Linked DNA regions of Saccharomyces cerevisiae S288C. The gene in region 3 interacts genetically with the main gene of each other region. Each region holds a gene or a part of one and is shown on either strand. Other genes may lie near its edges.

Region 1 (4,238 bases), on a different chromosome or scaffold from region 3:
TTGAGGATAGTGGTACCCATTTCTTTCGCAGCGTTGTCCCTATAATTGACTCAGTACTGCTGTTCATCTTGATGGGCTCGATGATATCTGCTGAGGACAGTTGGGAGGAATGATCAGGGAATATCAATTGTTCTTCATGCAACAACAGTGGCTCTTCATGGTCTGCAGAGCAATACTGCTGCTCGGGCAGTAAACCGCAGTTGGGGACAGGATTATCAGTCTGTGTCATTGTGCTAAAGACTGCTGCCTTCAGTGTTGATCTCACTACTATTACGGTTGGCAGTCTGTAGTAGAGATTCTTTTCAGAATTCGATTAAGCACTAGGCCGGTGGGTAACCCCTAGAAATTGGTGCTATTGGACCATATTATGAGAGTCATTTAAAGGGCCCTTCGGGCTGGCTCACATAAAGGTTGGGATCTATGACCTTTATCAATACGGATCTTACTACTGGCTATTCATTAATTCTCGAAATTTGCTGTCCCTTGCGTGCGCCGTGGATTGTGTTCGATAAGGCTTACTTTATAACGGTTGGAATATTGGATAATAAAGGGAAAAAAAATGTTCAGCATTGAGAGATAGAAAAGTTATCACCAGAGTAAAAAGGAGCAAGAATTAGAATAAGAACGAACTACAATGGAGGAAGAAGAATTAAGTAAATTGTTGGCCAATGTTAAGATAGATCCGAGCCTAACATCAAGAATTAGTCAAATAGACAGCTTCAAACTGTCGGAATTGATGGTTCTAAAGACAGATATTGAGACACAACTAGAGGCGTATTTCAGTGTGCTTGAGCAGCAAGGCATCGGCATGGACTCTGCGTTGGTGACGCCAGACGGGTATCCTCGTTCGGATGTCGATGTATTGCAAGTCACTATGATCAGAAAGAATGTTAATATGCTGAAGAATGATTTAAATCACCTTTTGCAAAGATCACACGTCTTACTAAACCAGCACTTTGATAATATGAACGTTAAGTCAAACCAAGATGCAAGAAGGAATAACGACGATCAAGCTATTCAGTATACCATCCCTTTTGCATTTATCAGTGAGGTAGTACCCGGTAGCCCTTCAGATAAAGCAGACATAAAGGTTGATGATAAGCTGATTTCTATTGGTAATGTGCATGCGGCAAACCACTCTAAACTTCAAAACATTCAGATGGTTGTAATGAAAAATGAAGACAGGCCACTTCCCGTCCTTCTCTTGAGAGAAGGGCAAATCCTAAAGACATCGCTAACACCTTCGAGAAACTGGAATGGTAGAGGTCTTTTGGGTTGTAGGATACAAGAGCTATAATCTTCGTCATGTACTAAAAAAAACCAATCCAGTTATTACTATTACTTTTTATACTATCTGCATATTACCTACGTTATCTAACTTGTGATTCATTCAAGCTGTACAGCACTTTATATATATATATGTAGCTGCTTCTTAAAAATTATTTGCTGCTATTTTTAACCACCATGTAATGTTGAAGTAAAAGAGATGATGTCACCGTCTTCCAATATGTAGTCTTTTTCGCCTTCGAGCTCCCAATCGGTGTCGTTGATTAATGTGATGATACCGGGTCTTATAGAATCATCTTCGATGAAGATACTAACGTCATTAGGGTTATTGATCATAGTAGATACAATGTGGTCAATCAAATCGCCCACTGTGACAGGATCTTCTTTGTCCATCTTAATTTTATGTACTCTTTGTTTTCCAAAAATAGCATCAAGTCCACCTAGAAACTCCACTTTCACGTTTACCATCCCGATTTTGCTATTAACCTATCTCGTTTTAGTATCAGAAATCAGTATTGTTTTCTGCTTTGGGAATTTTTGAGCTCTCCATACCGTCTGCCAGTAGTATTTCATTAGGTCGATGCGATGCCATTACTTTGTCGTTATATTTTTTCTGCCGAAGTGGGCGACAATGTAATTAAAAAAAAAAGTCTAAATAAGATTGAGAACTTGGGAAGGAACATAATCCGGTATGTGAAATCAATTGAATCTATCCTCTGTCTCGGTATAATATTATACAAGTTAGGAGAATAGTTATATATAAATATATGTGAACTTGTAGAACTGATGGCATTTGATGGCCGTCACATGGTACGCCACTAAAACCTTGATTAAGTAGATTAGATTAGACTAGCAAGTGTTGGTAACGTTTTGTAGGAAAGAGTCTCAAAGTACCCAGCGCCAACTTTTGCTAAAGTCAATCATAAAATATATGTTTTTAAAATATGTAGGTATGCCGTGCATTTTTATTCTTTTTTAATGTTTAGCTTTCAAAAAAGCTAAAATAAACCATAAGCGTTATTCTTATTATATTGATAGTAGAAGAGGAAGAGTGGTTATCTTTACTCAAATTAACGATTGCTTTTATTTCTTACATTAAGGTCGAAACTATTTGCTACTATGAAAGCCAAGCAGAAACAAACAAGACCTTATTAAGATTGATGTTTCAAGCTATGCATTCCCAATTCAGAAGAACAAGGGAAGAGCATAAGACGGCTATCTGCATTTAACAGTAGTGGTCACTCCTACAGTAGTCATACTTCTCAAGCCTACTTTCGGTATGGCTTTTAAAGTCATAAAATAACGAATAGTTCGTATACCGCTCATGTGGCAAACTCAATAGCAAAATGTGATTTCATATCACGAAGTTTTTTATATTTTTTAATTATACAATTGTAATTTGTATTACGGAAATGAAACATGTTTGTATGTTATGTAGTATATCAATAATTGATTTACCGCATCTGTAAAAGAGAACCATTTATCACGCACATAGTTTTAGTATTCACTAATCGGTGCTCTATGGAAGTACGAGACACCGTGCATAGATGGAAGGGGAAGGTAATAAGCTTCTCTCTAAGAATTTTCTTTGTAAACCCTTTCGACTTCTGATTTAACAGCGGCTAAGATTTCTCTTCTCTTTAATTTTTGAGCAGATGTGACAAAGCCATTTTCAGGTGTCCATTCTTCATCAAAGAAAACAATACCACATAATAGTTCAATACCAACCAAACCTTGAGATTTGGCTGTTGCGATCATCTCTTTGAAAACAGCATTTCGTAATGCTTTGTCATGGATATAGTTTTCGATGTCTTCACCCTTTTTCATAATACGCAATTTGACAGCAAATTTAGATAGGGGTCCTGGGTTGGGTACCACAATACCCACCGGTTTAACCCTACTTTCATCGGCATAAACACAGATATTTTTCACATAGGAGTTTGACCTGTAAACAGATTCTAACTTTTCTAATGCAATATATTCACCATTTAGGGTTTTAACCAAATTCTTTCTTCTATCAATAATTTTAAGTTGTCCCTTGGGAGTCCATTCAACAATATCACCAGTACGAAACCATCCATCGTAAGTGAAAGAGACCGCCGTTTCTATTGGATTCTTATAATATTCAGAACAGACCGGCGCACCCTTTAGAAGCAATTCACCTTGATTGTTTTTTGCATAATAACCTAGGTCCTTAACATCCACCAATTTGGCAGTGACCGATCCAACAAGATCACCAACTATACCATATTCGAAATGATCAGGCTCCAAAACACAAGCATTCGCAACTGTTTCAGTAAGGCCGTAACCGATAATCATAGGACACAGGACGATAGAAAAGAATTTCTGAGCATCAATACTGATCGCAGACCCACCGTTCATAATATACTTAAGATGACCACCGGTGGCTTGTCTGACTTTCTTGAAGACCATACGACTTAAAAACCCGGTGCATGGTACACTCTTTTCTTTCATACTATAGGCAGACCAAAAAATCTTTTGGAGTACGGGAGTTAAATCGCTGATCTTTTCCAAAATAGCTTTTCTCACAGTTTCCCAAACGGCAGCCACACCGATCATAATAGTAGGCTTAAACTCAACCAGGTCACCCTTACAATTACGAGTCGAAGTATTAGTCAAAGTCTTAACACTACCGTACCCAAGAATACCGTTCCAGTAAAAGGCTTCGAATTCAAAGACCAGTTCAAAAATATGAGCCAATGGCAAGAACGACAAAACACGGTCTGTAGAGCCGATCCATCCAAAGACGTTGTGACCTACACCAGCGATACCCGAAACAATATTATAATGAGTCAATACTACACCTTTTGGTGCACTGATCGAGCCCGAGGTGTACATGATACAAGCCAAATCTTTTGGCTCAGGTGGATGAAGTTTGACCTCATCTTTACTTTTTTTACCTATCTTGACAACTTCTTCAAAACTATAAA
Region 2 (8,246 bases), on a different chromosome or scaffold from region 3:
TACACGGGCCTGAACGAGCACTTTTCAAAATACAATTAATGCCCAAAAATATGAGCAACGGTAATGAGGGCGTGCATAATTGCAAAGAATGTATAAGCAAACACCAAGGCTGTCTACTCGGATTCATCTATAAATATTCTATTTACTATGTATAGCTTTCTACTCGTCCGGGAGGCAGCAATCTATGCGAGAGAAGCTTCTTACAATGCGTTGTAGCGAATAAGGTACGCACATCAAAAGATGAGCAAAACTACAATAAAAGGGTTCATTTAGCTGTCCCCTCTGACCCAGCTCACAATAACGGACTATCTTGGCAGCTAGAGTAGTAATGTCTATTACAGGGGCAAAGAACTGGCGAGGAGGCTTGAATCCTGCAAACATTTCCGTATTCAGTTGCCCTGGGGTCACTAATAGTGTTCTGATATTTCTTACGCCTTCGTTTTGCAATTCAAAACTGTACGACTGATGAAAGGCTATCAATGCTGCTTTGCTCGCCGCATAAGCTGCTACTTTGGCCGGCGTCAATATGCCCAAAATGCTTGCGATATTGACAATATAACACTGTCTAGTTGAGTGTCTACTAGGGGCCAGTTCTTGAATGAACTGAAGTGGTGCAAATGTGTTTATCTTAAAAATCTTATCAAGATTATCCCGTTCCATGCCGTTGAATCCGGTGAAGTTGGCCCTTACTCCAGCATTGTTCACAATCAATCGGATTTCATTTTTATACTTTCTTTTCAACAAATTCAGTAGTGCTGCAACTTCTTCATCATCACTCAGGTCGCAGATGAGATCCTTCACGCGAGTATTCCTCACTGATGATGGGCATATGTCGACATTCAAGATGGTCAGGTTGCTGTAGTCTTGTAGGAGTTGAGATACTATGGCCCGTCCAAGTCCTTTACTTCCTCCAGTAATAAGAACTATGCCATTCTTAAATTCACGAAGGCTCTTCCAGGCGACCTGTCCCGACCGCTTTATATAGGAATTAGCAATGAGGAATGCATTTATCAGTAGTGTATAGATTGTTAGACAAATGCTTATCGAGTCGCTTAGAGACCTAGGTTAGTTCGTCATGTTAGTATAAAAAACGCTGTTTCTAACCTCATGCCTATTTTCTACTTTACATACCATCTCAATACAAGAGCTACCAGAAGTGGATAGCGCAGCAGTGGCAGAACTACCCAACGACACAAACAGTCTATATTCATCACCAGAACTTCACCTTTTCCTCACAGCCGTATTATCACATATTAATGTATCTGTTCTACTGATTTTAAAGAGCTACTTGTTATACGGCTAAATGCACTTCCGAGGGTAACCTGTTATTCAGGATTATATGAACAGAGAGAATAATGATGTGAGTTACTGCAAATAGCATAATTACTGGACTATATTCTTGTTGGCTTATATTATTACAACGATATTTACCATTAAAAGTGTCTATATCTTATATTATTGATGATCTGCCATTGCTACAGGATTGCACGCGACTAATAATTGTCTATTAAGTATATTTGGATGACTTAACACAAGAATTGTTTTCTCTCTCCTTTCTGAACTAGCCAGCTTTATCTTCTTTCCTTTTATGATCTGGACGGGAACCAATTCGCCTAGGTTCTGCTCAACATTTTTTAAGTCGTAAATCTGTATCAAATTGTCGCCAACGAGAATCAAATGATTACCATGGAAGCTCGCGCCGGTACAACAAAAATCAAGTAAGAGAATATCCTTTCTCCAATCAGACATCTCACCGTAGCAGTTTATTTTCACTACGGCTTCATCATAAACCAAGGCAAAAAAACTAGATTGTGATATTTGAAAAAAATTGACCGGTATAGCTTTGCAAGTGGCGATATCCTTTTTTGCTTCTTCAGTGAGAGATTCTATGGAGGGGCGTTTCTTGGAGTCTGTAGCACTTTTGAACGGTAAGCTATTCAAATGTGGATGCCTCAAGTGTGCCATCATATCTTTATCATTCAAAAAAGATGGTAAGACTATTCCGTTATCCTCGAATGAATCTTGATAAAGTATGACTGTTTTCTTTGTACACACAGCAAAACTTTTCCTGAATATGGCAATATCCTCAATTTCGTTATTCAGAATGTTATTACTTGAACTTGGGAGCTTATACTCTTTGTAAAATTTGAAATATTTTACTTGGTTTGTCAATTGATCAAATTCTGGTGTTAATATAACTATCTTCCCCTTTCTTTCAAAAAATAAATGTTTTGAGTTACCAAAATCATCAGCAATTTTGAAGAATCTCACCTTATCTCTGATTACTGTTCCCACAATGCAGTTTTCATCTAGAGTGTTTCCTTGCGCTAGGTAACGGCTCACTACCGTTGAGATATTAAAATAGCACAACTTTCTGTTATCCAATACAAACAAGAGCCCCAACTTAACATTGGCTTCCATTCTTTTGACGTCGTTTAATTCTAATATTTTAACGAAACCACTACCATAATCGTCTCTATATTTCACATAGATACCGTCTGTTGTAGCCACAAATAGGTAAATTCTGCCCTCGAATTTAACATCTTCACAACAAAGAATCCGTGTTGTCTTACTCCATGAACATGAATCTTTGTTTGCTTTTTGAGCGTAAGCTTTGAGTGCTACATCAATTTCTGATCCTTCCGGAGCTACAGGTAGATTCACCGGTGCATCCTTGTCGAAGTATGCGAACTCAGAGCTCAACACTGTAAATTCAAAGGCATTTAAATCATGATTTTCTGCATTTCTTTTAAAAGATTCCATGATAGCATCAATCCATTGGTTGAGTACTTCTGCACTTTCTGTAAAAAATTTGAACGATTCACCTGTGGCTGTATTTCTGATCTTAAATGAGAACTCGTCTGTGTTTGGATTCGCGTTAGAAATTTCAGTATTACTAGTCTTTCTATCTCCATACGCTGTTGACATGTGATTTCCAGAACTTTTAAGCAGAGGTCTCATGGAGTTAATCGGTGTCGAAAAATTATGCATTGGGGATTTATGTTCTTTCTGAGAGTAGTTTCTCAGAGGCTGTTTACTTGTTCCTGGAATTTTCCTTTTCTCGAGACTTAAATAATCTATTGGGATAGGTCTTTCAATAAGCTTATATTTTTGAGTTTCTCCTTTACTTATTTCCTCTGTAATCAGTAAGCAATTGTCCAATAATGCGATATACACTGGGGTTGGGTCCAGCCATAAATCCCTCTTTTTATAAACAGTGCCAGATAGTACTAACTTCCTTTCCGGATAAGTTAAACCAAGAGCTAGTTTATCCTGAATTGCATCATCGTCATTTGCGTTAGTACTACCACCGACGTTCACATAGCTTGTTGCATTACTACTATTAGTACTTAATACTAATTGTTTCGAAAACCTTACTAGTTTCCTATGGTCAATTGCTAATCCATGTACCTGATTAACTTCAAAGTTCAACTTTTCTACTTCCTTAATTACTATTTTCAGGTATTCATAATCCTCCATGGAAGGATCCGTGTTCTTCAAAATTGAGCGCAGAGTTACGGGCATGTTTTGTAAAGATTTGAAAAACCCCCCAAAGAATATAACATCATGATACATCTTCGATCTTGTAATTTCAACCGAGTTATCAATCTCCTTAAGCCATGTTACAAATTTCGTCTTGTTTTTCTTCTCCCACATTATGATTTCGTGTACCGTTGCCATAGCTTTCGCGTAATTCAAATATATATTCTTGGCTTCACCACACCATTTTGAATAGATTTTTCCAACGCCATCAATAAACTTACCTCTCGTTTTTAATTTCCAAAATATTGGCGTCAAAAGAAATTCGGTATGTAATTGTATTAGAGGTTCGAAGATATCAAATGCCAATGCCTTGAACTCAGGCTCATCTGGAAGTAGGGATTTGTCAAACCGTTTCCCATAGATTTCTACCGCGGCAGTAGCCATGTTTAAGGATCTTTCTTCTAAAATAATTAAGTCAAATATAAAGCTTTGTCTTTGTACTTCACGGGGATTAATTTCTGCTAAATCATCTGGAGTCAAGTGCCAGTATTCTGTCCAAAGTCCAACTGATTTATTTATGATTTCGGAAAGTTTTATTTCTTTTCTGAAGCCAGAGCTTTGGCCATGTGTGCAAACGTTGGAATAACAAATCAGGGAGTTTGTAGATCCATAAGTATTATCGATGAATGAATAGCACGGTAGTAGTTCGGTGAAAACACCAGTAATATCCAGCCCTCCCACAACTACGGCTACCTCTTCATCGTTAATGATATCGAATCTTACTGCTTTCTGGGAAATAAACGAAGCCATAATATTATCCACATTTGAGTCTATCGTATCTTGATCGAAATTTGTAGGCATTTGAAACTCTAAAAGTAATTGAACAATTTGGAAAAGATCGATTTTCGTGAAGACACATTCATTAAACCATTCAAAATAAACTTTCAAAATCCACTCATAAATAGCAGAAAGTTTGTAAACATTATCACATTGATAAAGCTTGTGCTCATCGATAGATTGAATTGAAAATGGTTGTGTCGGTGCAGTAATGCTTGGTGCTAATTCTAATGGCTTGGCTCCTAGTAAAGAGTTAAAACTACTTTGCCTGGCATTTGAGTTATTAAAAGTATAATCTGAGTCAGAATAAACACTTTCTAGGGCTTCTGATACTCGGCTATTCCCACTTACGTTTCTAGATGTTGATAGAGGCGGTGGTGGTTTCGTAAAAAATTCTGAGTCTTCATCATCAAAAGGAGATAGCAGAAGAGTAGTAGTGAAAGGAATTGGGGGTAAAGCTTTTTCTCTTTCATGACACCGTAGATCTGATTCATCAGAGAAGTGAGCCTGCTGTTTGCTACTATCTCTTGGAGATTTAGGGGAATTTGGACTAAATCCGTTCGCAAATGGTGATTTTAAGATCCTGGAATGGTTAGATATGTATTCCATGTGATGTCGTTCCTCTGAGTTTCCTATAAAGGATAGTTTATTAGGTGATCTTTCCCGGGACTGAGAACTGGGAGATACCATGGGTGAGTCTATCCGTATTGATTCAGTGGAATACAAAAGGGGTGGCGGTGGTGGTGGTCGTCTTTCTTTGACGTACTTTGTCGATTTGGGTGTGGATTCTGAAGAGCTAGTACCGTTTCCCCTTGCACTATGTTTTGATGTAAAGGTAAAAGCCTGAGGGACCGGGCTTTGGAATTGCTGGGTGTCACTGATTGGTGTCCAGCCAATTGAGATATTATCTGTTCCGTTATCAGAATCATCCAAAAAGGAGTTCCTCGTATTCAATGGTGGCAGTTTGGGCAATTCGATGCTCTTTCGTTGGCTTTCTTGACGGCTTACTCGTTTTTCTGGTGTTCGTTCAAAAGGGGAACTTCTATTATATCGATACATGTTAACTTGCTGCACTCAATAAGTTTTTTGTTTTAATGTTTATATTCGAAGTAGTATCAATTAATTGTTCATAACAGTGGCTGGAGGGGGTATACAGAACCACTAAAACCTCCAGAAATAATAGTTGAATAAAATATTGATGCAAGAAATGGATTTTGAACAGTTATATTGCGTACTGATCATCCTCTCTAGGGGTTGTTTACCTAAACGATGTGTTAACGTTTTCTCTAAATGATTTATATTGCGGCCTATGCGACGAGTCAGTATGAACAATAGAAAATCTTAAGAAGCCGTAAGCTAAAAACATCAAATGATTATAGCGCACCAACTGCTCGACTGGAAGCAGCGAAATTACGTATGTATGACCGAAGCTCAGTTAATTTTCTCTTAAGTAAAGACACAACCTTTAAATGTTGACTAACTGTGTTTGAGTAGGGGAAAAGTCCCCAAAAGTTGACGCATTTCCTTTGCATGACTGGTTTTGGAAAAGATTTCGACCTAACTCCCCAAAAAATTACTGTGAACACCTATCTGTGTAAATTTACGGTTGTTTTAGTCAAAATAGCTGTTATAACGTTTATCATAGTCCACTAAAACAGTATTTGGACACCGAACAAACTGTTTTCGATTAGGAGATTAATCGCATCTATTAAATAGCTTGATGTTTTTATTATACAATCTTCAACATTAGTTGTGATATGGAAGTTTAAAATACTGGCTAGAGACACTCGTTAGGGTTAAGGTAAATCGATAGCGGTAGTACATTATGGCATACATACCAAGATCGGGTAAAGCCGTTCCATAGTTAGATGCCTACTACTAAATGACGGTCTGAAATGGGAATTATATACGATAAATATCACAAATTGAGGAGATGGAATATAAGGATTAGCTGCTAATTATATGACAGGTTTATTGCGACGTTACTATATTACAACAGATGGCGGTTTTAGGGTAGTACCGCTTGCTTAATCGAATCAGATCAAATCAGAAGAAAAAGCAGGATCAGGCTTGAAGTACACGCTCAATGAACAAAAGCGAAAATAACCTTTTGTTTAGAGGTGCTTGTCATATCGAAATACTATATTAACTTTAAAATATTCCGCGCTACGTTGGGTGAATTAGAACTGACCAGGAGCATTTCCCTAATAAACTAAATTAGCGTGGCCACACTTTCAATCTTCGTGTGAACCTGTTGGAATAAAAATCAACTATCATCTACTAACTAGTATTTACGTTACTAGTATATTATCATATACGGTGTTAGAAGATGACGCAAATGATGAGAAATAGTCATCTAAATTAGTGGAAGCTGAAACGCAAGGATTGATAATGTAATAGGATCAATGAATATTAACATATAAAACGATGATAATAATATTTATAGAATTGTGTAGAATTGCAGATTCCCTTTTATGGATTCCTAAATCCTTGAGGAGAACTTCTAGTATATCTACATACCTAATATTATAGCCTTAATCACAATGGAATCCCAACAATTACATCAAAATCCACATTCTCTACATGGTAGCGCCTATGCTTCGGTTACTTCTAAGGAAGTCCCATCAAATCAAGATCCGTTAGCCGTTTCAGCTTCCAATTTACCGGAATTTGATAGAGATTCCACTAAGGTTAATTCTCAAGAAGAGACAACACCTGGGACATCAGCTGTTCCAGAGAACCATCATCATGTCTCTCCTCAACCTGCTTCAGTACCACCTCCACAGAATGGACAGTACCAACAGCACGGCATGATGACCCCAAACAAAGCTATGGCTTCTAACTGGGCACATTACCAACAACCATCTATGATGACGTGTTCACATTATCAAACGTCACCTGCGTATTATCAACCGGACCCACACTATCCGCTGCCACAGTATATCCCACCGCTGAGTACTTCCTCACCTGATCCAATCGATTCACAGGATCAACACTCTGAAGTACCTCAAGCTAAGACAAAGGTGAGAAATAATGTCTTACCACCACACACTTTAACATCAGAAGAAAACTTTTCTACATGGGTTAAATTTTACATCAGATTTTTGAAGAACTCTAATCTCGGTGACATTATTCCAAATGACCAGGGTGAAATCAAAAGACAAATGACTTATGAAGAACATGCGTATATATACAATACCTTCCAAGCATTTGCCCCATTTCATTTATTGCCAACATGGGTAAAACAAATTTTAGAAATTAATTATTCTGACATCCTTACTGTCCTTTGTAAAAGTGTGTCCAAAATGCAAACTAACAATCAAGAATTAAAAGATTGGATAGCTCTTGCCAACCTTGAGTACAACGGAAGTACATCTGCTGATACATTTGAAATTACAGTCAGCACGATCATTCAAAGGCTAAAAGAAAACAATATCAATGTTAGCGACAGATTGGCCTGTCAACTAATACTTAAAGGTCTATCCGGTGATTTCAAATACCTACGTAATCAATATCGTACCAAAACGAACATGAAACTTTCCCAATTATTCGCTGAAATTCAATTAATATATGACGAAAATAAAATCATGAATCTAAATAAACCGTCCCAATACAAACAACACAGCGAATACAAAAATGTTTCTCGCACATCTCCAAACACGACTAACACGAAGGTTACAACTCGTAATTATCATAGAACAAATAGTTCAAAACCAAGAGCAGCAAAAGCTCACAATATTGCTACATCCAGTAAATTCTCAAGGGTGAACAATGATCACATTAATGAATCAACCGTTTCATCACAATACTTAAGCGATGACAACGAACTTAGTCTTAGGCCAGCAACAGAAAGAATCTAAGCCAACACGCACAATAGACTCGAATGACGAACTACCTGATCACCTTCTTATTGATTCAGGAGCTTC
Region 3 (4,210 bases):
AGCCATTAGTTATTAATATGCTCTCCTCATTATTCCGTGATTCTGAGTTTGAAGCTGAACCGTTATTGTTTGAAGTCTTCTTCTTGGAATTCTTAGTGTCAATTTCAAAACATTTACCAAAGGGGTCGCAGTTAAAAATCGAAATCTGATGCGATGACGCGGCCACCACACAGCACGTTGCATCTTGATTGAATTGTAATACTTTCATATCCTTTTCTATCTGTCTATTTCAAATCCAAAGGAGTGGAATTGTCTTTTGTTGGTCAAATTCTTTCTGCAGCTCACGCTCCTTTTTTGTTAATATTCATTTCACTTTTTCATATTTTGACATCTAGGCGATACCTTTTTCTACCTTCCAGCTGCCACCGCTTAGAGTCAGGAAAAAGACGATGGATATATATATAATAGTCGTATTTAAGATATAACAGATAAAAAAATAATACATTCACCACGCTTGTTAAAAAGCATGCCGTATATTTCCCATAAATTGAACCATATTCTTAATAGTCTAAAGATATCTTGGTCTTCTTTGCAGGTATATTATGTGAGATTTCATCCGAGTGCGAGTGTGAATGTGACTGTTCCGAGGCAGCTGAACCTTCAGCATCATCCACGGGTATGCCCCATTGTTCTATTTCAAACTTTTTTCTGCCATTCTTAAATGCCCATTCAGACTTTAAAACTCTCATCTCTCCACGGTCCGTGAAAACTGGTAATTTCAATATGTGGACTAGCCCATGTTGAATCTTCCCCGGTTGCGATTTATAAACACGTTCTAAGAACTCAGTCATCTCCTGGTTAAAGGGTTCTAGATTGATAACAGAATCGAACATGTTTCTCAGCAATACCAGTAATGGGGGAGTGATAATGTCTATGGATATGGAAGCAAACAGTACAACCCGCTCATAGTATTTCTTGACAAGACTCCTCACACCGTGCATTAAACCTATTATTTCAGATGATTCAAACATTTTGGGCGGATACATTGCCGGATGTAGAAGGGAAGGAATAACAATTCTTATCAGTTTCTTGTCATTCCTTTTAATAGTCTGTTCTATTTGGCTCAAAATAGTGGAGACAGGTTGAGTTGGGGCGATAAATGTCAGTTCAGATGCTATGGGAGCGGGCATCAGACGCGTTGTAATATCAAACTGATGATTGTAGTCCTTGTACTCAGAATTTTGTTGGATGTCATCTCGATCCGGAGAACCCAATCTCTTTTCATCTGCCAGTTTATATTTCCATGCAATTTTCAGGTCTTTGTACCTGGAAGGCGTCGATCTCTGGGTCTCGTTCAAATTTTGAACAGTAACTTTTGATTCTTCTTCAGAGATTAGGTTTTTCTTCATTTGTTTACGTGATCCCTTGTAGATACCAGGTAGCTCCTTTGCAAACATTTGGTTCAATGACAAGACAATGACATGAGTGTCGCCGTTTCTAGTTTTATCAGCACTGCTATCTGAAATTCTATTATGAACGATACCCTGTGCGGCAAACAGTTTACCGAGAATAGAGTGAAATTCTGTCGTGCTCTGCTCCTCTACTAGTACAGAGTTTCCCAGCGGCAGCCCCATATGGCCTAGTATACTGTCCAGGTCAGCACTCCCAGTTGATGTCGTCGGCTGAGAGGTTGCAGGAGAAGGTCTAACGCCCACATGGGAGCTATCCAGCCCCATTTTTGTCTTGGATTCGTCCGCAATATTCAACTTCTTTAATCTCGCTGTAGTGTCAGACAAGGGCACATTTCCAGGGGCTCTTCTGTTGCCTGTCCTCAATGGCGTTGAGGAAGTTCGTGGAGGACCTCTTAACAGTGGACCTCTTAGCCCGCTACCTCTATCGTTCAGTATTTCACCTCTTTTACGAAATGACATGGTACATGCGATATTTGGGAGCCGAATTTGTTATACAATGTTGTTCTCTGCACCTCATCTCTAAACTATCCAGCCTCATCGACATCTTCATATGTCGTTTTTGTTATTTTAACAGTTTAGAGTTCATTCCATGCGCTTTACCCGGTCTGGCGTCAAAAGCCATCAATAACATAGCTACTATTGCGTCTGAGAGAAGTCGACCATAGGGAAGAACTTGCCATCTGGTTTTGAGTTAGTTAGAATTATCACTATTGAAGATAGCCCAGCAAAATGCTTGTGCAAGAAAGCACATCGTCTAGTGGCCTTTTTTGAAGAAAGAATTGGAACTACTTTAGAAATACATTTACCACAGTGAGTATATGACACTGATATTCTCCTTGATTATCGCCCAAAATACATTGTAGGCTTCAAAAAGATTAAAATATCAATTAAAAGAGAGAGAATAAATAGGTTAAGGCCCAAATTACAATAGCGGCCTCCTATTTGTCTTTTCCATTCGATGCGATATTTATCAGTATTATATGAGAACAAATGGTGGTATTATAAAAAAAAAATATTATAATGAGATATATGTCTGATTTTAATAATAAACTTTTTAGCTAATGATTCCTTCTGCGTTCATTTTCTGAATATTATCAACAGCTGCTAGTTTTTTTTTTCCTTTACTGTCGTTAAGCAGTTCCCGAAGACTCACTACTGATGCTTAACAAAAAAAAAAAAACGTAGTTCGAGAATAGCGAGAATATGGTGTGAACAGTAGCACTCCAATTACTGAAGGATTGCATGCCTGCTTGTGTTGCAAATGAATTTTGTTACCTGCCATGTTCAGATGAGGCTTCTTCTCCAAAGGAGACTAGTGCGTTTACGAGAATCAGAGCTGTTTAGACCCCAGACATCATTGTCAACTTTCAAAAGACATGCTTCGCAAAAGACACGCCCTATACAAAAATGCTCGAGAAAATACGCACGTATACTTCTGTTGTCTGTTTTGGTACCTTACACAGGATATGCGTTTTATGTATCATTGGCTACAGTGAAGCAAATTGATTTAAGAAACGAAATGTGTCAAAGATTAGAGGAGAATAATAACGAGGTCACTTATAAGGGATCCTTGCTAAAATATAGCCCTTTGGAAGTTTTAGGCAGATTTGAGAACCCGTTCGAAGAATACAGGATTCAGACCGTTTTTGAATTCTTTGCAAATAGAGTGTTCGAATTATTTGAAAGAAATAGGGGAGGTATTCCACGTGATGTACACCAAATGAATAAGTTAATGCCTGTACACAAGCCAACATGGGGGCCTAACTTAGTGGACGTCGACCCCGCAGAGGAAACGGCATTGCCGCTAGAATGCAAAGTGTTAGACGAATTGCACATACCGACTGCAGTAGAAGAAAATGAAGGATCAAAGTGCCCAGTCTATAACACATGGCTGGGCCAGTCCTGTAACTACACGGTTTATAATGGATTGAGGATACTTACTGATCCTCTGTTCAGTGACTTTCTTATCCACAAGACCCTGGGTCCTAAAAGAATTACTCAAATGCCATCTCAAATTACAGAGGTGCCCAAACCAGATATCATCCTTGTATCCCATAATCACCCCGATCACCTGGATTTAGAAAGCTTGGAATACTGGAGTGGCAAAGACTCTCCCTTATGGATAGTACCTAAAGGAATGAAATCTTATATGACAAGTAACGGCTGTGATAATGTCCTAGAATTATCTTGGTGGGAAACTTTGCAAGTAAAGAAAAACAATGAGATATACCACATATCGGCTACTCCTGCCATGCATTGGTCTGGGAGATCGCTCTTAGATACGAACAAGTCTCTATGGTGCTCCTTTTTATTAACACACCATGGTAATCCCATACTTTTTCATGCTGGTGACACTGGATATGTGAAAGATTTATTCGTTAGAATTAAAGAACGCTTTGGCAAAGGTTGTAAATTAGCGCTGCTTCCATGTGGTCAGTATTGCCCTGAGTGGCACCAAAAACCACGACATATTAATCCTCAAGAGGTTCTCAAGATTATGAAAGATCTAGAAGCTCGAAATGTATTAGGCGTTCATTGGGGGACCTTTGTATTAAGCGGAGAATATTTCTTAGAGCCAAAGGAAAAATTAGAAATGTTGGCCGAGTGGGGTGGGTTTAAAGACCGCTGCTACTGTCCAGAATTGGGCAAGACAGAATGCTTCGACTAACTTAGGCGCTAATATTTAAGCTGCAGCGTCCCTGTAAATAGCGATAAATTACAGTAAACGTAGACTTTGGGAGATTGTACTCACTGAACATTTTATGATTTAATGATTTTGTAATTTAAAAACATTCGTA

What was found. A genetic interaction does not mean that the proteins touch.
Region 1: mutations in ELP4 (region 3) and URM1 impair growth when combined (synthetic growth defect), as found in Saccharomyces cerevisiae (4 studies listed by BioGRID, with this or other methods).
Region 2: mutations in ELP4 (region 3) and TUS1 are lethal when combined (synthetic lethality), as found in Saccharomyces cerevisiae (2 studies listed by BioGRID, with this or other methods).

What each region holds. Positions count from the first base shown.
Region 1 is NC_001141.2:340,053-344,290, reverse strand, and holds URM1 (ubiquitin-related modifier URM1), read right to left. Parts: upstream 1,756-4,238; coding exon 1,456-1,755; downstream 1-1,455. Other genes in the region: YIA6 (NAD+ transporter), read right to left, coding at 1-229; NAS2 (Nas2p), read left to right, coding at 635-1,297; long-chain fatty acid-CoA ligase FAA3, read right to left, coding at 2,863-4,238.
Region 2 is NC_001144.5:980,027-988,272, reverse strand, and holds TUS1 (Rho family guanine nucleotide exchange factor TUS1), read right to left. Parts: upstream 5,380-8,246; coding exon 1,456-5,379; downstream 1-1,455. Other genes in the region: TDA5 (Tda5p), read right to left, coding at 160-1,060, 1,132-1,211. UniProt on the Saccharomyces cerevisiae protein: Guanine nucleotide-exchange factor (GEF) for RHO1 that stimulates the exchange of RHO1 GDP-bound form into GTP-bound form. Required for signaling of cell wall defects to RHO1.
Region 3 is NC_001148.4:357,870-362,079, reverse strand, and holds ELP4 (Elongator subunit ELP4), read right to left. Parts: upstream 1,872-4,210; coding exon 501-1,871; downstream 1-500. Other genes in the region: ATG21 (Atg21p), read right to left, coding at 1-208; FMP30 (N-acetylphosphatidylethanolamine-hydrolyzing phospholipase D), read left to right, coding at 2,674-4,080. UniProt on the Saccharomyces cerevisiae protein: Component of the elongator complex, a multiprotein complex which is required for multiple tRNA modifications, including mcm5U (5-methoxycarbonylmethyl uridine), mcm5s2U (5-methoxycarbonylmethyl-2-thiouridine), and ncm5U (5-carbamoylmethyl uridine).